2 linked regions of the Xenopus tropicalis genome follow. The protein of the gene in region 2 interacts with the protein of the main gene of each other region in a pairwise test. Links are inferred from orthologs where the notes say so. Each region holds a gene or a part of one and is shown on either strand. Other genes may lie near its edges. The genes, in order: nelfe and nelfb.

The links.
Region 1: the proteins of nelfb (region 2) and nelfe interact in binary tests that used the Homo sapiens proteins (3 or more experiments, as listed by UniProt). The link is inferred for Xenopus tropicalis from reciprocal best matches to the Homo sapiens genes NELFB and NELFE.

What each region holds. Positions count from the first base shown.
Region 1 is NC_030684.2:74,052,661-74,064,304, forward strand, and holds nelfe (negative elongation factor E), read right to left. Parts: upstream 9,955-11,644; 5' UTR 9,919-9,954; intron 8,659-9,918; 5' UTR 8,636-8,658; coding exon 8,561-8,635; intron 5,578-8,560; coding exon 5,508-5,577; intron 5,286-5,507; coding exon 5,140-5,285; intron 5,000-5,139; coding exon 4,925-4,999; intron 4,837-4,924; coding exon 4,799-4,836; intron 2,621-4,798; coding exon 2,374-2,620; 3' UTR 2,248-2,373; coding exon of another isoform or gene 2,103-2,247; 3' UTR 2,024-2,102; coding exon of another isoform or gene 1,969-2,023; 3' UTR 1,150-1,968; coding exon of another isoform or gene 1,047-1,149; 3' UTR 671-1,046; coding exon of another isoform or gene 561-670; 3' UTR 188-560; downstream 1-187. UniProt on the Homo sapiens protein: Essential component of the NELF complex, a complex that negatively regulates the elongation of transcription by RNA polymerase II.
Region 2 is NC_030684.2:4,117,127-4,128,770, reverse strand, and holds the start of nelfb (negative elongation factor B), read right to left. Parts: upstream 4,997-11,644; 5' UTR 4,955-4,996; coding exon 4,853-4,954; intron 1-4,852. Other genes in the region: fcn2l (ficolin-2), read right to left, coding at 8,297-8,544, 9,534-9,668, 11,035-11,164. UniProt on the Homo sapiens protein: Essential component of the NELF complex, a complex that negatively regulates the elongation of transcription by RNA polymerase II.

The sequences.
Region 1 (11,644 bases), about 70 Mb from region 2:
CTTATATGTTCTTAAGTGATAAACCACATCTGAAAAATATAGTTGAGTGTGTGAGTTTTTCTAGCAAGTCTCCAGTTTGAAATGGAAAGTGTTATATTAAGGTTGTCTATAATTTAGGCTGTTACATGTGACAAAACATATACCATTACTGTGATACTCAAGAAATAACTTGGGTCCCAATACCTCCTGTTGTACCTTATACAAGTAATTTTATTTACCTTCCTTGTGTCTATTGGCATACTCTATGCATGCTGAGATGGTAAATGTGCCCAAAACAACTGAGATAAAGCCAATTAGTAGAAAGTAGTCACTAAATCATTATTACAGGAATGTAGAGTACATATTTAAAGGGACAATGCAAACAGTAACCTACATATCCACAAATAACTGAAAAGCCATTTTAAATTATAGTTAAAAAAAAAAAATCTTGGGCATAGCATATAAGCACAGTCTTGTTTCTTTAAATAGTCAACGGTCACTTTATTTACCATCCTCAACCATGTGTACCATGTACACATAGAGATCTTGGGCCCTAATATTCTCTTTCTCCTCGCTTCTCTTTATCCTGGCTTTTTATCAGCATCAGTTTGACCATCGCTAAATAAATCTTCAGAGTAATTGACCTGAGACCTCTTATCTCTGTGTGAACCTTTAACACTGTTCTGTACAGCTGTGAAGGAAAAGAAAAACAGAAGATAAATCTGTGACATTTTACTATATAATGTTAAGTACCAATCCAGGGCAGAAGGGGACAGTTTTCTTATTGGTTAAGTCTTCTTTGTTTTGCCTGTGCTGTCAGAGCACCCATGTGGTTGCACTATTAACTTCTGAATTGCCCTTTAGTGTAAATAGGCAGTCCACATTCCACCTCCACCGGGTGCTACAGGTTTGCAGAGATTCTTGCCTTCTACAGCTTGCCTTGTAAAAGCAATATCATGCTGGTACTGTCCCTTTCACCAGCAGTCCATAATGTAGCTCTGCAGCCTTATGACTATATTTGTAGAGAAATTGCAAGAGAAACATTTACATATAAAGTTACAACTTACCCAATGAACCCCAAACTGATTTTCCTGTGGCTGCCTCCAACATAGGCTGTTTGCGAGCTATGCTAACCTTCACTGGTATGTCTTCTATCACCTTGTTATTAAGCTGAATTAGAAGAAGAAGAATTCAGTTCAGACGTGAGAACAAATTTTACAGAGGTTCAAGGAATTTGACCCAATAGGGGCATGAGGTTAAACTTCTCAAAGTATAGCTGTTTGATATACTTTTAAAAGAAAAGTAACACCAAAAAATGAAAGTGTATCAAAATAATTATTATATTATGTACTATTTCCCTGCACTGGTAAAAGTAGTGTGTTTGTTTCAGAAAAACTACTATAGTTTATATAAATAAGCTGCTGTGTAGCCATGGGAGCAGCCATTCAAAAGGAGAAAGGGCACAGGTTACATAGCAGATAACAGATAAACTCAGTAGAATACAATGGTGTCTTATCTGTTATAAAAACTGTGCCTTTTCTCCTTTTTTCCAGCTTGAATGGCTGCCCCTGTAGCTACACAGCAGGGTATTTATATAAAATATAATAGTGTTGCTAAAGCAAACACACCAGTTTAGGTAACAGTAAATTATATTTTAATTACTTTAAGACATTTAAATTTTTTGGTGTTACTGTTCCTTTAAGGCCTCCAACACTTATCATAGCAAACAATCAAGCAGATAATTATAGCAAACATTTAGTGAAGCATACAACACTGCATAGCACAGTTTTAGAAGCCTTGCTGTTTAAATAAAGAGCCCAATCTTTATTTTCTAAAAATCTGAGAAAACAAAAACGGCTTAAAAAAAAACAACAAAATCCCATTTTTTCAGTTCTATGTGTTTAATACTCCAAAGTGACAATGACAAAGAATAGCAGTATCAAATGGAATAAAGGAGGCAGTAAAAGGAAACCATGCAGCAAAACTCACCTCTGAAATAGCCTGGTCAGCTGACTCCATCTTCTCATATGTAACAAAAGCACAGCTGGGAATAAAAGGCCCCCAAAATTAAAAGGTTGCCAGCCTAAAAGCACACTAGTAAGGTCCATACAGTGCCTACTTACTTCCTTGGAGCATCCACAGAAAGATCAATAATGTTCCCAAAGCTGGAAAAAGCCTCACGAAGCATTGTCTGGTTCATGCCCACACCATGAACATAAACAGTATTACCTTTCCTTGGAGCCCGACGTTCAGGGAATGAATCTGATCCTACAGGATGCATGACAAAGGCACTGGTTAAATCATTAGTAAATGAAGACCTGGTAAGGAAGTTAGGCAAAGGGAAGCTAAGATGAATAGCAGAGCTATAATTCCAGCCCTCTGCTTCAGTAAAAATCAAAAAAGTGGCAAATTACTGCGGTAAAAGCCATCTCTGTCCCTTTCACGATCTCTTTCGCGGTCTCTCTCACTTCGGTCTCTATCTCGTTCTCTGTCCCGGTCACGATCTCGCTCTCTTCCACGATCTCTATCATAAGGTTCTCTCTCTAAAAGTTCCCTCTCTCCTCGACGAGTATCCCTCTCACTCTCTCGTTCCTCGCTTTCTCTCTCAGGATCTCTCATTCGCTCACTCGGGCTGACAAAACTAGAATGAGGGGGGAAAAAAATTAGGAAGGAAAAGGTACAAAAGAAGTACATAAGAAAATAAATCTGGATTAAAAGATTTACTCATTCTAATGAGCCAAATTTCTAAATAGTTATACACAGTTCAACACACTAGAGAAAATTATTGTGCTATCTCTACTAATTAGTGTAGAATAACACAGAAGTAGTTTATAAAAATATATACATCTTTACTCTGTACTTTGTTCTCTTTTTCTAATACTGAAGTTTAAACTTTCCTGTCTCTCTCTCTCTCTCTCTGGTGTTTAAAGGACACCTACCCCCCTTAAATTGTTACCCCACCAAAGGTGTAGGCTAATAGAGCCTGCACTCTGATTAAGAGAAACAATAGCTGCTGGCAGCCATGTTGTGGCATTCGCACGTGCATAATGAGTGGATGCCAAAACTCGCAACTCATGTGTGACGTAGGAGGGTGAATCACATCCACCAATCCTACATCAGGCAAAAGCGCATAATGAGTGAGTGGGGAGACATACTCATTATGTGCATGCGCAGCAGACGATGCGGCCACCCACTCTGGAAGCTCCCTCTCAGTGTGGGCAGCCTAGCAATGGCGGGGGCTGTATTTTAAAAAAAAAAAAAAAAAAAAAAAGGAAAACATTGGTTTCCCCAACCAAAATGCTGGGCCTATTAGCCTGCACCTCTGATGGGGGAACCAATTACAGGGTGATAGGTTAAGTCTAGAAGCTCAGTAATCCAGGTGCATACTTTGAACTGTTAGCAATTGCTATGTTAGTAACTAATTACTATATTAGTTCATACATCAGCATCTGTAGAATATTAGCAACTATTGTATCAATTAATAAATCTGAGGGACTATTCTCAGCAGGACAAAAAATAAGAAAATGTATCAACTCATGTATCAAATTAGAAGTTTATAGTATCTCATCCTCGCCAGAGCTGCATCCAACGTTGGCACAAGGAGGCATCCAACGTTGGCACAAGTCAATAACAATCAGTATCTAGTAGAATTAAGTCTAAAACAACTGGACTTTTTCTAAGTTTTTTCACAAACTCATCCGAGTGGTTTAGTTCAATTGACTGGTTGGGAATTCCCCAGCATTTAAACCCTAGAGAATCCAATCATAATGGTTCCATTGAACTTCAGTTAAGTGTTGGCTGAAACTCACAGGTGTAAGAAGGTATGATCCAGTTACAATGGTATCATGATTCTCATTGATGCAGGTTTTAATCCTTCAAAGTACATGACTGGAAGTGTGAACTGTTGTGAAACTGCCGGGGTAAGGATGTCAAAGCGATATTGTATGTTGATGACAATTGGTGTTGCAGGTCCCCTCCTCTGTTCAGGGATGGTTTTTCCAGGCTAGCATAAATGGCCTCTTTCAAACCATCTGTCCTCTCATTCCAAAATATGCACTTTACTAGTGCTGAGTCTTGACCTGAGTAGTTAGCCCTCCTATGTTGGGCCATTCCCTTACAGAGAGGTTGTTTTGTCTCCCCAATGTATAAATCAGAGCACTCTTCATTCACTACACTGGACAGCATAGAACACATTACTTTTCATGTGCTTTGGTGTAGGGTCTTCAGAGTGCACCAACTTTAAGTGTTGCTGGGTTTGAAATACACAGGAATGTGAGGTTTGTTGAAAATTCTCCTAAGTTTTTCTGATGTTCCAGAAACATATGGGCTGACTATATTGCTTCACCTGCTGTGTTCCTCCCTTCTGTTTGCTGGTCTGGTCTTTTTGCTTGTCTTTAATTTAGGTTTGATAAAGGCCCAGTCAAGTTTTCAGTGCTCCTTTTAGATGTTTGTATTCCTTCTCTTTAGCCTCTGCATAGGATGCCACATTTTCAGCCCAATGATGTAGAGTCCTAATAACACCCAGTTTATGTTCCAAAGGGTAGTGGGAATCAAACAGCAAGTACTGATCTTTGTGGGTGGATTTTCTGTATACGTCAATATCCAGGTCCCCCTCTTTGATAACTATTGCACAGTCCAATATTCCCTACCAGTCATTTGAACTAAAGAAGCCACTCGGAACAAAGTCAGAAAAAGTCCAACTGTTTTAGACTTTATTCTACTAGATACTGTATATCATGACCTGGATGAATGAAAAGATTCATAGACAAGTGAATGACAAGTGTGTAAATATGCTGTGAAACATGAATTTTCTTGTTACCTTTCATAGAGTGATTTTCTCTGAGACCTTCTGGAACTCTGTATAAGAAATGAGGAATTTATTATTTAATGTGCTACACCATGTAACTCTCAATAAATTCTTCCATTTTATTTGTGGCCCAGTTACCTCTGCCTGTTCCTCATCCACAGAAACGCTACGTTGGAAAGGCTGGAAGCTTGGAACAGGTCCCTTATCAGGGTCCTGAATAAATATAAGGGGAAAAAAACATTGGTTGTTACAAAATGTAGAAATAGTTTATTAGCAGTTATAAAATACGGAAAAAGCACTGGAAAAATTATTTACAAAAATAGCTTTCATTTGACAAAGTGAAGAAAGAGAACCTTGAGTTTGCCTTCCAAAGTACGAGAACGTTTGAAGCCACTGTTTTTTGTCCCTGACTTTATAGCACTGATTGCTCCAGTCTTCACCAACATCTTTGCTTGTTCTGTAGCTGTAGCTGTGTCAACTGCAGGCTGGTCTGAGAGGGCTGAGAAAAAAAATGTGTTTGTAAACCAGAAACAGGGGGAAAATAGGTGGATTAATAGGATAAAGTCATGAAATATAAATGGTAAACAACAGAAACAACAACTACAGAAGAGATAAAATAAAAGATAAGTCACAAGGAGCCAGAGAATACAGAATGATAAAAAAAACAAACACTGAATATTATGTATTATGTGCTGGTAGTAGGACAGTTGGGTCAGCTTACATCTTTTTATTCCCGTCTGGCTTGTCTGGTTCGTGGATGTTTGCTTCTTTAAAGCAAGAAGGGCTTTTTTCTGCAAGAATGAAACAAAAACAGAAGAGTAGCAACTACGTGGAGCCAGTAGTTTTAGCCTGTTAAAAATTCAAGAACCATGCTATTGTTCAAATGCAATATAAAACTGCTACAATTTTCTCTCAGATTTTAAGAATTTCTATATACTAGTATAGGATGTAGAGCTTAAACAGTACAAGTGTACATTGTGCTCACGAGAGATACATTCAAAGGAGAATACTCAACTCCCCCCCCCCCCAAAAAAAAGTTCCATGCCCTCATTACAGCTATTAAATTCCTAAAATGGCATGACCATATCAGTATCAGAGGCAGAAAATAGGCAGCTTCTTTTTGCACAATTGTCTCTGACCCACTTCCCAGCCCAGCACTGTCCCATAATCCAACCAGCTAAACTGCACTAAACCACAGTGAGACCATAGTGAGATCTGTCACTCAAGCTGGGCATTGGTTGTAGTAAGCACAGTGTGCATTTTACTCTATCCTATAAAACCATACTGGTTACTGTGCTGGACCACAGGGTAATGCTGGGGTGAGAGTATGGACAAATGCTATAAAATGCATATAGAAACTAATATTTGATTGTTTAAAAGGTAAACTATACTTAATATATTTTAATATATTAGAGGTCCAGTATGTTTGAAGTATGCACTTTCCTACTAATGCAATTAGGGAAAGCCCCTAGTACACATATTTTGTGAGTGATTTCTTTCACTTACAGTGGTGTGAAAAACTATTTGCCCCCTTCCTGATTTCTTATTCTTTTGCATGTTTGTCACACAAAATGTTTCTGATCATCAAACACATTTAACTATTAGTCAAAGATAACACAAGTAAACACAAAATGCAGTTTTTAAATGAGGGTTTTTATTATTTAGGGAGGAAAAAAATCCAAACCTACATGGCCCTGTGTGAAAAAGTAATTGCCCCCTGAACCTAATAACTGGTTCGGCCACCTTTAGCAGCAATAACTGCAATCAAGCGTTTGCGATAACTTGCAACGAGTCTTTTACAGCGCTCTGGAGGAATTTTGGCCCACTCATCTTTGCAGAATTGTTGTAATTCAGCTTTATTTGAGGGTTTTCTAGCATGAACCGCCTTTTTAAGGTCATCCTCAACAGGATTCAGGTTAGGACTTTGACTAGGCCACTCCAAAGTCGTCATTTTGTTTTTCTTCAGCCATTCAGAGGTGGATTTGCTGGTGTGTTTTGGGTCATTGTCCTGCTGCAGCACCCAAGATCGCTTCAGCTTGAGTTGACGAACAGATGGCCGGACATTCTCCTTCAGGATTTTTTGGTAGACAGTAGAATTCATGGTTCCATCTATCACAGCAAGCCTTCCAGGTCCTGAAGCAGCAAAATAACCCCAGACCATCACACTACCACCACCATATTTTACTGTTGGTATGATGTTCTTTTTCTGAAATGCTGCGTTACTTTTACGCCAGATGTAACGGGACACGCACCTTCCAAAAAGTTCAACTTTTGTCTCATCGGTCCACAAGGTATTTTTCCAAAAGTCTTGGCAATCATTGAGATGTTTTTTAGCAAAATTGAGACGAGCCATAATGTTCTTTTTGCTTAAAAGTGGTTTGCGCCTTGGAAATCTGCCATGCAGGCCGTTTTTGCCCAGTCTCTTTCTTATGGTGGAGTCGTGAACACTGACCTTAACTGAGGCAAGTGAGGCCTGCAGTTCTTTAGATGTTGTCCTGGGGTCTTTTGTGGCCTCTCGGATGAGTTGTCTCTGCGCTCTTGGGGTAATTTTGGTCGGCCGGCCACTCCTGGGAAGGTTCACCACTGTTCCATGTTTTTGCCATTTGTGGATAATGGCTCTCACTGTGGTTCGCTGGAGTCCCAAAGCTTTAGAAATGGCTTTATAACCTTTACCAGACTGATAGATCTCAACTACTTTTGTTCTCATTTGTTCCTCAATTTCTTTGGATCTTGGCATGATGTCTAGCTTTTGAGGTGCTTTTGGCCTACTTCTCTGTGTCAGGTAGCTCCTATTTTAGTGATTTCTTGATTGAAACAGGTGTGGCAGTAATCAGGCCTGGGGGTGACTACAGAAATTTAACTCAGGTGTGATAAACCACAGTTGTTATTTTTTAACAAGGGGGGCAATCACTTTTTCACACAGGGCCATGTAGATTTGGAGTTTTTTTTTCTCCCTTAATAATGTAAACCTTCATTTAAAAACTGCATTTTGTGTTCAATTATGTTATCTTTGACTAATAGTTAACGGTTTTTGATGAGCAGAAACATTTAAGTGTGACAAACATGCAAAAGAATAAGAAATCAGGAAGGGGGCAAATAGTTTTTCACACCACTATTACACAAAATACATTAATATACATGGACCTAGCCCTCCAAACCTCTATTTAAAGGAGATGTTCTCATGAAAACTAACTTCAGGTATGATGAAAATAGGATACTAGTATTTTAAGACAATTTGCAGTTATGTGTTTATATGTGTTTTTATCATGTAATTTGTCTTCCTAAACATTAAATGTAATTTAACCAATACATACAGTACTATACACAATACTATTAATCCAACAATGCAAGGTCACATACACAATGACCTGCTGTAGTGCAACAACTTATTATTTTAAACAGTTAGGGGCTGATTTACTAATCCACGAATCCAAATCCCGAATGAGAAAAAATCGGATTGGAAACGAACATTTTGCGGCTTTTTCGTATCTTTTGCGATTTTTTCGCCGCCATCACGACTTTTTCGTGAATTGTCGCGACTTCTTCGTAGCCGTTACGACTTTCGCGAATTGTCGCAACTTTTTCGTAGCCGTTACGACTTTCGTGAATTGCCTCTACTTTTTCGTATTGAGCGCTTGAAAAATTTGCGACAATTCACAAAAAAGTTGGGACGGCGACGAAAAAAACGCAAAATACCGATCATTACAAAAAAAACGCACTCGGACGCTTTTCGGCCGTTCGTGGATTAGTAAATGTGCCCCATAGAGTCTTTACCTTCTTTTTCAGCTTTGCAAACTTCCTCTGCAAAGCCTCCTCTTCTTCTGTAAGGCTGGTTGGTAGCAGGACCATGATGCTTGCACAGAGGGGTACTTCTGTAGATAAATATTGATACAAACAGATGTTACATATAATATACAACATAGTTTATGTCCAAATCTCAGCTTAATATAACAATGATGAAATACATTACTTGTCACAAGCATATTCAACCCACATCTCTCCAGTGGCCTGACACATCTATGTAGATAATAATTCAATGACATCCATATTGCTGAACAAGGTTTAAAACTATATATATATATATATATATATATATATATATATATATATATATATATATATATTTATTTATTTTTTTAATATTATTAATATTGAACAATTAGTACTAAATATCCACACACACTTATTAAGTGTTAAGGTAAAAGGCCTGTCTATTGTACATACAACACTGTAACAAAAGTTGAATTTACCTTCACAATAAGTGTTATGCATAACAAGTGATGTTTCCTTTACCAACCTAAGCTAGTCACACAGAAAAATTTAAAAACAAGTAGTGAGTGATTTTAGGATGATCCAGTAACTAGAAACAATCATACACTTTAATAATCAGCAAAATCTAGGGTTGCCACCATCTCTGGGAAAAAAAAGCATTCTGGCCTTGCCATATTGTTATCTTTTTTTTCTTATTAATAACATTGGCTTCAAACATCATTTTTTACCAGCCAGGAGGCTATCCGAGCAACACTGTCCTACTAATCAATCAGATGGGAAAGAAGATCTTGGTTGGGAATAGATAAAATCTCTCCATGGTTGAGACTGAGAGATGAAAGTAGGTTGCATGGTGGGAGGTATTAAAAAGCAGCTTGCAGTTACTGCAACACAGCTGTCAGGCAATTTCTATCTTTTAATGGACACAACAAAACTATAAAATCTTTTTAGCACGAATATTTTCTTCAGACGGATAAATGCAGTAGGAATGACATAAAATGGTACAATCACTTAATATATGACAAAACATTTAAAAGTCTGGCCAACATTAGGTAGCCCCCCCCCCCTCCCCATACTTCATGGCAGGAGATGCCATATTCAGGTAACACAACTTCCATTATCCTTGTTGTTCCGACTGACAACTGCAAGAACGTGAAGCCCTACCAGACCCGCCAATTTGTTGCAATGGCAAATGCAATACGAAGTCCCCGATCGGTGCGCATTTGGAAGGCTTGGCCCTACATTGTTCAACATTCACGTTTCCAAAGCTCCCAAATACCAACAGGTTCGAACTGAAAAAATACTCATTAGACACATTTCTACTATGTTTGAAACGAAAAACACACAACAACCTGTTTATTTACCTCTCTGTAAAGTCGGTCGCGTTCTTTTTACGTCACATAAAAAAATGGAAACACTAGTCCCGGCCCCTCAGTAATATCCGAGACAGGAACAAGACTCGCCATGACGTTACGGTCACGTGACAGGTGCTGGACAGGACAGTGCTCCATATAGTACAGGTGGGGTAGGAGAGTCAAATTTGAGAAATTGTGAGTGAAGTGTCAAGCTAATGAATGGAAGTGGAGGAGGATAGGCGTGGTTTGTGAGGGATCTGTAGCGAGTGTGGTTTACGTTTTAGAATATGCGTGCCCCGCACAGCTGCCAGCTTGGCACTCATCGGGTTCTGCAGAGTGGCCCTTCTATTGCAGAGCTCAACTATTCTGTTTGCTGTAAATATAACGTGCCGAATTTTCTTATTTTCATCTATTAGGGTAATGGCAGAGGATGTGATTGCCATTCTGCCCTGACTTAGGGGAAAAAAGTGTGTGTGTGTGTGTATGTGTGTATATATATATATACATACATACATACACACACACATACATACATACACACACACACACACACACGTGTGTATAAACGGGTACACACCAAATCTGGTCATTAAAGGGAAACTAAAAAACCATTGTGGCCAGTGTCAGAGTGGGATGCCAGGGGCCCAGAAAAAAACCTTCAAACTATTTTTCACCCACTTCTCTCTCACCCTCTATATTTTCCTAGTGTTTTTTTATCTTTATGTACTATAATCTATTCTTTTTTTGGGCCCACCAGGAGTTTTACTGGAATCCCTGGGGGCCAGTTCGACACCTACTGTGGCACTGTCAGATATTAAAAAAAAGTTATTTATACTAACTTTCATAATATTTATTTGTGGTGCACTTTAAGAATGCACTTTCTGTTCATTTAGTGGGAATTGCTATGTTGCCTAGGTAGAGAATTTTTCATAGACTTCAGTTGTACATCTCCTTTAATTTATGACCTTTCAATTGTGTGGTTCTCATGAAGTATTTGGAAAGTGCCTCAGCAGAGCCAATCACTTTTATATCATGTTAATTACACTATTGTTAAAGTCAGGGGTTCTTATTTTATGGGTCAGGATACATGAAAAAGGGGTTGCCATACTGTTTGAGGTTGGACTTAATACTCTTTAAATAAGGCAATATAATTTAGAGACAGTAGTAATTAGGATGAGAGGTGTATTCCAGCTGTTATTCCTCATATTCCTGATGTGTGTGCTCTTTGGGTGTAAATAAATCTAGAGTACTGGCATGTATGAGGCAGTCTCTCTTCCTGTCTTGAAAAACCATGAGTCTAGGTGGAGATCACGGGCCCCATGTGATACTGGTCTTGAAAGCTTTGGTATATAAGCACATGCTCAAGGATCGGGGTTCCTGGATTGGTAAACTGCACTTTGTCACCGAGTCCTCTGTTGCTGCAGTTGATTAGTACACAACTCTAGTTGTAATGTGCATTTCTGCTTAAACATTTTATCTTCGTGTAGCTGCTGCTGTATTTTCCTATGCCTACTTGTTTGTGGCAGTGGTAATCTTTTATTAACACTGGGCAAATTTGTAATTGGCAACCAGTCAATTTTTTTCTTGCATTGTTCTGTCAGCAGCCAGCTGAAAAAAAAGTTAATCACTGATGCCACTGCTATGGGTTACTGCCTGGTGCAAATTTCTCTTGTGTTGATAAACAATGTCACTTCTCTCATTTCCTTTCTGTTCCTTTCCACCTTTCTTTCTCTCC
Region 2 (11,644 bases):
CCCTTGCAGCCTGAAGGCTCCTAAACTCAAAGGCTCCTCCCTATGTCTGGGGTAAACTACAACTCCCAGCACCCCTTGCAGCCTGAAGCTCCTAAACTCAAAGGCTCCTCCCTATGTCTGGGGTAAACTACAACTCCCAGCACCCCTTGCAGCCTGGAAGCTCCTAAACTCAAAGGCTCCTCCCTATGTCTGGGGTAACCTACAACTCCCAGCACCCCTTGCAGCCTGAAGGCTCCTAAACTCAAAGGCTCCTCCCTATGTCTGGGGTAAACTACAACTCCCAGCACCCCTTGCAGCCTGAAGGCTCCTAAACTCAAAGGCTCCTCCCTATGTCTGGGGTAAACTACAACTCCCAGCACCCCTTGCAGCCTGAAGGCTCCTAAACTCAAAGGCTCCCCCCTATGTCTGGGGTAAACTACAACTCCCAGCACCCCTTGCAGCCTGAAGGCTCCTAAACTCAAAGGCTCCTCCCTATGTCTGGGGTAAACTACAACTCCCAGCACCCCTTGCAGCCTGAAGGCTCCGAAACTCAAAGGCTCCTCCCTATGTCTGGGGCAAACTACAACTCCCAGCACCCCTTGCAGCCTGAAGGCTCCTAAACTCAAAGGCTCCTCCCTATGTCTGGGGTAAACTACAACTCCCAGCACCCCTTGCAGCCTGAAGCGCCTAAACTCAAAGGCTCCTCCCTATGTCTGGGGTAAACTACAACTCCCAGCACCCCTTGCAGCCTGAAGCTCCTAAACTCAAAGGCTCCTCCCTATGTCTGGGGTAAACTACAACTCCCAGCACCCCTTGCAGCCTGAAGGCTCCTAAACTCAAAGGCTCCTCCCTATGTCTGGGGTAAACTACAACTCCCAGCACCCCTTGCAGCCTGAAGCTCCTAAACTCAAAGGCTCCTCCCTATGTCTGGGGTAAACTACAACTCCCAGCACCCCTTGCAGCCTGGAAGCTCCTAAACTCAAAGGCTCCTCCCTATGTCTGGGGTAACCTACAACTCCCAGCACCCCTTGCAGCCTGAAGGCTCCTAAACTCAAAGGCTCCTCCCTATGTCTGGGGTAAACTACAACTCCCAGCACCCCTTGCAGCCTGAAGGCTCCTAAACTCAAAGGCTCCTCCCTATGTCTGGGGTAAACTACAACTCCCAGCACCCCTTGCAGCCTGAAGGCTCCTAAACTCAAAGGCTCCCCCCTATGTCTGGGGTAAACTACAACTCCCAGCACCCCTTGCAGCCTGAAGGCTCCTAAACTCAAAGGCTCCTCCCTATGTCTGGGGTAAACTACAACTCCCAGCACCCCTTGCAGCCTGAAGGCTCCGAAACTCAAAGGCTCCTCCCTATGTCTGGGGCAAACTACAACTCCCAGCACCCCTTGCAGCCTGAAGGCTCCTAAACTCAAAGGCTCCTCCCTATGTCTGGGGCAAACTACAACTCCCAGCACCCCTTGCAGCCTGAAGGCTCCTAAACTCAAAGGCTCCTCCCTATGTCTGGGGCAAACTACAACTCCCAGCACCCCTTGCAGCCTGAAGGCTCCTAAACTCAAAGGCTCCTCCCTATGTCTGGGGTAAACTACAACTCCCAGCACCCCTTGCAGCCTGAAGGCTCCGAAACTCAAAGGCTCCTCCCTATGTCTGGGGCAAACTACAACTCCCAGCACCCCTTGCAGCCTGAAGCTCCTAAACTCAAAGGCTCCTCTCTATGTCTGGGGTAAACTACAACTCCCAGCACCCCTTGCAGCCTGAAGGCTCCGAAACTCAAAGGCTCCTCCCTATGTCTGGGGCAAACTACAACTCCCAGCACCCCTTGCAGCCTGAAGGCTCCTAAACTCAAAGGCTCCTCCCTATGTCTGGGGCAAACTACAACTCCCAGCACCCCTTGCAGCCTGAAGCTCCTAAACTCAAAGGCTCCTCCCTATGTCTGGGGTAAACTACAACTCCCAGCACCCCTTGCAGCCTGAAGGCTCCTAAACTCAAAGGCTCCTCCCTATGTCTGGGGCAAACTACAACTCCCAGCACCCCTTGCAGCCTGAAGCTCCTAAACTCAAAGGCTCCTCCCTATGTCTGGGGTAAACTACAACTCCCAGCACCCCTTGCAGCCTGAAGGCTCCGAAACTCAAAGGCTCCTCCCTATGTCTGGGGCAAACTACAACTCCCAGCACCCCTTGCAGCCTGAAGGCTCCTAAACTCAAAGGCTCCTCCCTATGTCTGGGGTAAACTACAACTCCCAGCACCCCTTGCAGCCTGAAGGCTCCTAAACTCAAAGGCTCCTCCCTATGTCTGGGGTAAACTACAACTCCCAGCACCCCTTGCAGCCTGAAGCTCCTAAACTCAAAGGCTCCTCCCTATGTCTGGGGTAAACTACAACTCCCAGCACCCCTTGCAGCCTGAAGGCTCCTAAACTCAAAGGCTCCTCCCTATGTCTGGGGTAAACTACAACTCCCAACATCCCTTGAGCCTGAAGGCTCCTAAACTCAAAGGCTCCTCCCTATGTCTGGGGTAAACTACAACTCCCAGCACCCCTTGCAGCCTGAAGGCTCCTAAACTCAAAGGCTCCTCCCTATGTCTGGGGTAAACTACAACTCCCAGCACCCCTTGCAGCCTGAAGGCTCCTAAACTCAAAGGCTCCTCCCTATATCTGGGGTAAACTACAACTCCCAGCACCCCTTGCAGCCTGAAGCTCCTAAACTCAAAGGCTCCTCCCTATGTCTGGGGTAAACTACAACTCCCAGCACCCCTTGCAGCCTGAAGCTCCTAAACTCAAAGGCTCCTCCCTATGTCTGGGGTAAACTACAACTCCCACCACCCCTTGCAGCCTGAAGGCTCCTAAACTCAAAGGCTCCTCCCTATGTCTGGGGCAAACTACAACTCCCAGCACCCCTTGCAGCCTGAAGGCTCCTAAACTCAAAGGCTCCTCCCTATGTCTGGGGCAAACTACAACTCCCAGCACCCCTTGCAGCCTGAAGGCTCCTAAACTCAAAGGCTCCTCCCTATGTCTGGGGTAAACTACAACTCCCAGCACCCCTTGCAGCCTGAAGGCTCCTAAACTCAAAGGCTCCTCCCTATGTCTGGGGTAAACTACAACTCCCAGCACCCCTTGCAGCCTGAAGGCTCCGAAACTCAAAGGCTCCTCCCTATGTCTGGGGCAAACTACAACTCCCAGCACCCCTTGCAGCCTGAAGCTCCTAAACTCAAAGGCTCCTCTCTATGTCTGGGGTAAACTACAACTCCCAGCACCCCTTGCAGCCTGAAGGCTCCTAAACTCAAAGGCTCCTCCCTATGTCTGGGGCAAACTACAACTCCCAGCACCCCTTGCAGCCTGAAGGCTCCTAAACTCAAAGGCTCCTCCCTATGTCTGGGGCAAACTACAACTCCCAGCACCCCTTGCAGCCTGAAGCTCCTAAACTCAAAGGCTCCTCCCTATGTCTGGGGTAAACTACAACTCCCAGCACCCCTTGCAGCCTGAAGCTCCTAAACTCAAAGGCTCCTCCCTATGTCTGGGGTAAACTACAACTCCCAGCACCCCTTGCAGCCTGAAGGCTCCGAAACTCAAAGGCTCCTCCCTATGTCTGGGGCAAACTACAACTCCCAGCACCCCTTGCAGCCTGAAGGCTCCTAAACTCAAAGGCTCCTCCCTATGTCTGGGGTAAACTACAACTCCCAGCACCCCTTGCAGCCTGAAGGCTCCTAAACTCAAAGGCTCCTCCCTATGTCTGGGGTAAACTACAACTCCCAGCACCCCTTGCAGCCTGAAGCTCCTAAACTCAAAGGCTCCTCCCTATGTCTGGGGTAAACTACAACTCCCAGCACCCCTTGCAGCCTGAAGGCTCCTAAACTCAAAGGCTCCTCCCTATGTCTGGGGTAAACTACAACTCCCAACATCCCTTGAGCCTGAAGGCTCCTAAACTCAAAGGCTCCTCCCTATGTCTGGGGTAAACTACAACTCCCAGCACCCCTTGCAGCCTGAAGGCTCCTAAACTCAAAGGCTCCTCCCTATGTCTGGGGTAAACTACAACTCCCAGCACCCCTTGCAGCCTGAAGGCTCCTAAACTCAAAGGCTCCTCCCTATGTCTGGGGTAAACTACAACTCCCAGCACCCCTTGCAGCCTGAAGGCTCCTAAACTCAAAGGCTCCTCCCTATATCTGGGGCAAACTACAACTCCCAGCACCCCTTGCAGCCTGAAGCTCCTAAACTCAAAGGCTCCTCCCTATGTCTGGGGTAAACTACAACTCCCAGCACCCCTTGCAGCCTGAAGCTCCTAAACTCAAAGGCTCCTCCCTATGTCTGGGGCAAACTACAACTCCCAGCACCCCTTGCAGCCTGAAGGCTCCGAAACTCAAAGGCTCCTCCCTATGTCTGGGGCAAACTACAACTCCCAGCACCCCTTGCAGCCTGAAGCTCCTAAACTCAAAGGCTCCTCCCTATGTCTGGGGTAAACTACAACTCCCAGCACCCCTTGCAGCCTGAAGCTCCTAAACTCAAAGGCTCCTCCCTATGTCTGGGGTAAACTACAACTCCCACCACCCCTTGCAGCCTGAAGGCTCCTAAACTCAAAGGCTCCTCCCTATGTCTGGGGTAAACTACAACTCCCAGCACCCCTTGCAGCCTGAAGGCTCCTAAACTCAAAGGCTCCTCCCTATGTCTGGGGCAAACTACAACTCCCAGCACCCCTTGCAGCCTGAAGGCTCCTAAACTCAAAGGCTCCTCCCTATGTCTGGGGCAAACTACAACTCCCAGCACCCCTTGCAGCCTGAAGGCTCCTCCCTATGTCTGGGGTAAACTACAATTCCCAGCATGCCCTGTAGGCATCATTAGCACCAAGGGCCCCTCCTACTACCCCACTGCGGGGCAGTTTCGCACCTGAAACTGCTCAATAGCCTTCAGGGGCTCAGTACAATTGGTCAGGGTCTCCTTCAGCTCCTCCCCATTGGCGACCCCCAGTTCGGACAGGCCGGCGAACATTGTCCCACAAACAGGCGGCTGTTTCCTGTCAGTACCGGAACCGTCGGAGCCCAGAGGCATCGCCCCGCCCCCTGAGCGCTATTTAAAACTCCCGCAGTGCCGCTACTGTGTCGGTCCCGGCCGGACAGCCAATCCAAGTCTCTTCTCGCGAGATTTCGGCGTTACGTAGCACGTATGAGGGCACGTAGGCAGCGCGTAGCCGACGGGGGGCGGGTCCGTACGGAGTAGGATTACGTCATACGCATAGCGGTTGCTAGTAAAGCGCGGGAATGTGCCATACCAGCTTGGCGCTTTTTTCCGCCAAATTGGGCTACTAATTTAAACCCCGGGCGGGTTTCCCAAGTACAAACCCGCCAAGGTACAGATTTGGGCTATTTTTTGTTTGTAGTTTGGAAACTAGCCACTAGTAAACCTGACATGCCTGACCATTGCATGCTGGGTAATGTAGTTTTTATTAAACATTTAGACTACAGCTGGGATTGATTTAAAACTACAATACCCAGCATGCCATCGGACAGTATAGACAGAGGCTCCCATTTCTGTTCTATTCAGGCTCAAGCTGTCTGCATGGATGTGCTATAACTTTCTAATGGGATGTGGTTGGGGGGTGGCTGCCATTTGTTACTTTCTGCAGTTGATCCCTAAGCTATAAATTTCAGGATTGGGGCTGCTGGGAGTTGTAGTTCAACGCACTCATATGTATATCATGTCTGGGGTTAATGCAGCATCCTGATTTCTGTAGTTACTTCCCGGCTGGACTGGGCCCAGAGGGAATTACCAGCCATCCCAGTAACTGGGCACAGAGGGAATTATCAGCCATCCCAGTAACTGGGCCCAGAGGGAATTATCAGCCATCCCAGTAACTGGGCCCAGAGGGAATTACCAGCCATCCCAGTAACTGGGCACAGAGGGAATTACCAGCCATCCCAGTAACTGGGCCCAGAGGGAATTATCAGCCATCCCAGTAACTGGGCCCAGAGGGAATTATCAGCCATCCCAGTAACTGGGCACAGAGGGAATTACCAGCCATCCCAGTAACTGGGCACAGAGGGAATTATCAGCCATCCCAGTAACTGGGCCCAGAGGGAATTATCAGCCATCCCAGTAACTGGGCACAGAGGGAATTACCAGCCATCCCAGTAACTGGGCACAGAGGGAATTATCAGCCATCCCAGTAACTGGGCACAGAGGGAATTATCAGCCATCCCAGTAACTGGGCACAGAGGGAATTACCAGCCATCCCAGTAACTGGGCCCAGAGGGAATTACCGGCCATCCCAGTAACTGGGCACAGAGGGAATTACCAGCCATCCCAGTAACTGGGCACAGAGGGAATTACCAGCCATCCCAGTAACTGGGCCCAGAGGGAATTATCAGCCATCCCAGTAACTGGGCCCAGAGGGAATTATCAGCCATCCCAGTAACTGGGCACAGAGGGAATTACCAGCCATCCCAGTAACTGGGCACAGAGGGAATTATCAGCCATCCCAGTAACTGGGCACAGAGGGAATTATCAGCCATCCCAGTAACTGGGCCCAGAGGGAATTATCAGCCATCCCAGTAACTGGGCACAGAGGGAATTATCAGCCATCCCAGTAACTGGGCACAGAGGGAATTATCAGCCATCCCAGTAACTGGGCACAGAGGGACTTATCAGCCATCCCAGTAACTGGGCACAGAGGGAATTATCAGCCATCCCAGTAACTGGGCCCAGAGGGAATTATCAGCCATCCCAGTAACTGGGCACAGAGGGAATTATCAGCCATCCCAGTAACTGGGCCCAGAGGGAATTATCAGCCATCCCAGTAACTGGGCCCAGAGGGAATTATCAGCCATCCCAGTAACTGGGCACAGAGGGAATTATCAGCCATCCCAGTAACTGGAGACGGGGAGCAGGGCTTGGGTAGGGATTATATGATTTAAAAAGGCAGGTTTTCCCATATATACTTTTAATTTTTTTAGAATTTTTGGTGGAACATACTGATATTAATGTTTTATGGGGGTATTTTTTGTCAGGGTCCCAGTGAGAGAGCAGGGGCTAATTCAGGAGAAGGTAATGTGTGAAAATGACCGAGTTATATGGGGATTTAGGTTCTTTTTATATTTCATTTTGAAATGTTACATGGGGCTAGTCATATTTTTTATTTCCCTGGGTACCACAGCCATGTGACCTGTGTTCTGATAAACTTCAAGCACACTTTACTGCTGCGCTGCAAGTTAGAGTGATATCCCCCCCCCCCTCACCCCCAGCAGCCGATCAGCAGAACAATGGGAAGGGAGCAAGATAGCAGCTCCCAGTAGGTATCAGAATAGCACTCAATAGTAAGAAATCCAAGTCCGGCTTGGGACTCCTCCAGTTACATGGGAGTAGGAGAAACAATAGGTTAGCTGAAAGCAGTTCTAATGTGTAGCACCGGCTCCTTCTGAAAGCCATGGGAAGGGAGCAAGATAGCAGCTCCCAGTAGGTCATTTAACCATTAAATAAACCCAATAGGGCTGTTCTGCCCCCAATAAGGGGTAATTATATCTTAGTTGGGATCAAGTACAGGTACTGTTTTATTATTACAGAGAAAAGGGAATCATTTAACCATTAAATAAACCCAATAGGGCTGTTCTGCCCCGATAAGGGGTAATTATATCTTAGTTGGGATCAAGTACAGGTACTGTTTTATTATTACAGAGAAAAGGGAATCATTTAACCATTAAATAAACCCAATAGGGCTGTTCTGCCCCAATAAGGGGTAATTATATCTTAGTTGGGATCAAGTACAGGTACTGTTTTATTATTACAGAGAAAAGGGAATCATTTAACCATGAAATAAACCCAATAGGGCTGTTCTGCCCCAATAAGGGGTAATTATATCTTAGTTGGGATCAAGTACAGGTACTGTTTTATTATTACAGAGAAAAGGAATCATTTTTAAAAATTAGAATTATTTCTTATAATGGAGTCTATGGGAGATGACCTTCCCATAATTCGGAACTTTCTTGATAACGGGTTTCCGGATAAGAGATCCGATACCTGTATTTGAATTTTTAAGTTTTTTTTTTATTTGAAGACACAGAAGTTTAAAAATATACTTATTTGAAAGACAAAAAACAAACAAACTTGCACTGAAGTCACATTCTAGCCTTTATTTTCAACAAGCCAAGTGTCCAAATGAATTTTGAAAATACAATTCTCATCGACTTCTACATGGATTGGCAGGGTTTTTAATAATCCCTAATTTCAGAAACTTGAATTTGTGATTTTTGCCGCAAAAACGTGAAAAACGTTACATGGTGATGAATCCGCCCCTTGATTTTAGGCCCCGTAGGGTTTTAAAATGTAATTACTGAGAGTTTACGAAGGCCTAATTTTCATTTCGGAACGTTTGTAGGAATAGTTGTGCCCTCTGCCTCCGTACCAGTTGATCCCCTCGGCCGTATTGCTGTGACTTCCTAACAAGTACAACCCATTCAGGTTTGAATGATGGCAGCCGTTGTACCACCATCCTCCCTTATATCTATCGGCACAGTGTTCCGGCAGTATGTCGTTGTCTTGGTCCTTGGTGGAAAATGGCATGGTGTTGTGAACCTTCATAGCATCCTCTGAAAATAAGAGAAACATGACGTTACACACAAGCTCGAACGTAATTCCTCTCCATCTGATTATTAATGATATTTTTGTAAAGGGGTGGGTTACCCTAAAGTTAACTTTTAGGGGCAGACTTATCAAAACACGAGTTCGAATCCCGAATGGGAAAAATTCGGATTGGAAACGAAAATTTCTGAAGATCGTAAATATCCCGAAAATGCTTACGAAAAAAATCGTATTAGTCACGATAATATCGTATTGGCGATCCGAAAATCACTAAATTTTCGTACCGAACGATTGTAAACAGCTGCAAAACCGATCCGATTTATTCGTGCTAAAAATACAGAAAAGTCGCGTATGCGTCGATATAGTCGCACAAGGTACGAAAAAGTCACGTAAAATACGATTGGACCGATCGAACAATTGGAGCGTTCATGGATAAGTAAATATGCCCCTTAGTATGTTATAGAATGGCCAATATTAGGGGGGGGGGCATTTATCAGTACGATTGCCTCCGAATACAAAAAATACGTTTTCGTACCTTGCTAATTTTCTCAACTTTTTCGTACTGTGTGGCAAAAATTTCGCAACAAAATTGGATTTTTTCCACAACGAGTACGAAAGTTTCGGATTGAGTCCAAATAAAATATGAATTTTTGTATCTAATTTATAGAACGGTGCGTATTTTCTGAGATTTTCAAGCTAATCTGCGCAGCTTTTCTGTACTGTGCGGAAAACATTACGTGACAAAATCGTATTGTAGCAACGAGTACGAAAGTTTCAGGTTGAGTCCGAATACAAAAAGTTTGTATTTTATCTAATTTATAGAACTGTGCGCATTTCCTGAGATTTTTTTGCGCTAATTTGCGCAGCTTTTTCGTACTGTGCGTCAAAAATTACGCGATAAAATCGGATTGCCGCAACGAGTACGAAAGTTTCGGATTGAGTCCGAATACAAAAAATTTGTATATTGCAACAAAGAGAATTAATACTGTTCACTTACCTATATTACCCCCCTTCATGGCTCCAATTAATAACTTAAATTTCTCTGACTCCCCCAGAATCCGGAAGGATTCGTATTTAGCGAAGTGCTTTGCGTTCTCAAAGTCTTGTAGATCAACCCTCAGTTCCCATGTACCTTTAAAGAAACAAAAAGAAGCAAAAAGTGACTTTGTTTCAATGGAATTAATAGAGAGAAAGTTTATTCAAAAACAAAAATTCTAAAACCTGTAACATATTTGAAAGTCACTTTGCAGTAACCGTTTCTTTGATTTCTGAACCAGGCATGAAAAAAATATAAGGTACGGAGGGGGCACCTGCAGGACCCCTGGGGTGGGAGCCTCGGTGGGCCCTGCACCCCCCCAGTCCGACCCTGGTGACCGGGACCGTTTCAATTGTTCTGGGTTTTGGGTTACTGATCGCGACACACGTAACTTTTGTTTACGTGAAAATTTTTTAAGCATGTGCTTCTATTTAACCCTTCCATAGCCCGATTTCTACAAGCAAATTAGGATTTGGATTTGGTCCGTTATTCGCCCGAATCTTTCACGAAGCGTTCCGGCTTTGGCCAAGTCCAAAAATAACAGATTTGGTGCATCCCTACAATGCTAGAAAAATAGATCTGAGTAATAGTTTTGAATAAATACACCGCTATATGGTATAGCGTGGTACCAAGTCACGTGTAAGATTCTTGGGGTGTTTGGCCAAATTTTGACAATGAAGGCAAACTACATGTAAAAACAACTGCGTGTCTGGAACCCAGAAATGACTACTGACACTAGCCTAACTCCTCATTGAGATGGGAGTAACCTTGCAAGGACTGGTCTTTAATGAAACCCTTAAGAACTCTAGAACTTTCTGCTGTGATGCCCACAGGGACCAATGTACTCTTTAGAGAAAAGGCAAAAACAAGGAGTAGCAAAAAGGTCAGGACATGTGGCAGACGATTGTGGTCACGGACAATCAAGAGTCAAATACCAGAAAGGTCAGCTAAAGCAGGGGTCCCCAACCGCCGGGCCGTGGACTGCTTGGCACTGGGCCGCCAATGTTCCCCCGGAGCACACAGAGAGGCGGACATGTCGTAAGCAAGAATGTGCGAACGAACGCGATGCGCGCATAAAGGTGCAAATAAACGTGAGACCGCTCCTGCCCACCCCGGTCCGTGGAAAATTTTTTCTCCTTGCAACTGGTCCTTGGAAAAATAAAGGTTGGGGACCCCTGAGCTAAAGTATTAACGCTTGAGCAGGATCTGAAAACAAGAAGCCAACTTGGGCAACGGGACAAACAAGAAAAGGTCCCAAATACATGTACTGTGTGTACCCCCAGATACACAGGAATGCACTGCTAAAAAGTAGAAAGAAGGGAGCGTTGGTGATGAGGAGCATCTGAACCCATGCAAAGTGGTCTTGGAGACACCTGCTCTTGGTGCACATCAACCAAGTTGTGATTTTGAAATGAAAAACCTGCATCTCCTTAATACGTATTTGAAATGAGATAGACATTACCTGATGAGGTTAATTTGTGAAGATTATCATTCCCCAGCCAAAACTCATTCAGCCTGCTGCCAAACCCTGACTTGTAGGACTTCCAGTCACGAAAGAAATCCACGGAGCCATCCCAACGTCTTTGGAAAACCTACAGTAACGCAAGATGAATCCAAGAAAAATGGTTTATTGAGTTGATACAATGGTTTTTATCAAGATAGCTAGTGTGTTTGTCTGGTAGGTAATTATTTACGTAAACATCCCCAAATCAAATACAATTTATCCTACTTCTAAAGGTGCCCATACACCTTCAGATCCACCAAGCGAGCGGATCTTCAGGCTAATTCAGGCTAATTCGATCTTTTGGACCTGGGGCCAAACGATCAAATTATAACGACGAGTATAGGCAAAGTCAGTCCGGGGACCGCATCAACGAGCCGATGCGGTCCCCGATCCGACCAGATTTTTTTAACCTGCCCAATCGATATCGATAATGGCCCGATTAGCTGCCAAATATTGGCAGCTAGAATCGCCCCGTGTATGGGGACCTTAACATTTAAAAAGGGACTGCATTGTGTGTGACTAACAACTGTGAGCAGATATCCGTGTATGTATAGATATGACATTAATA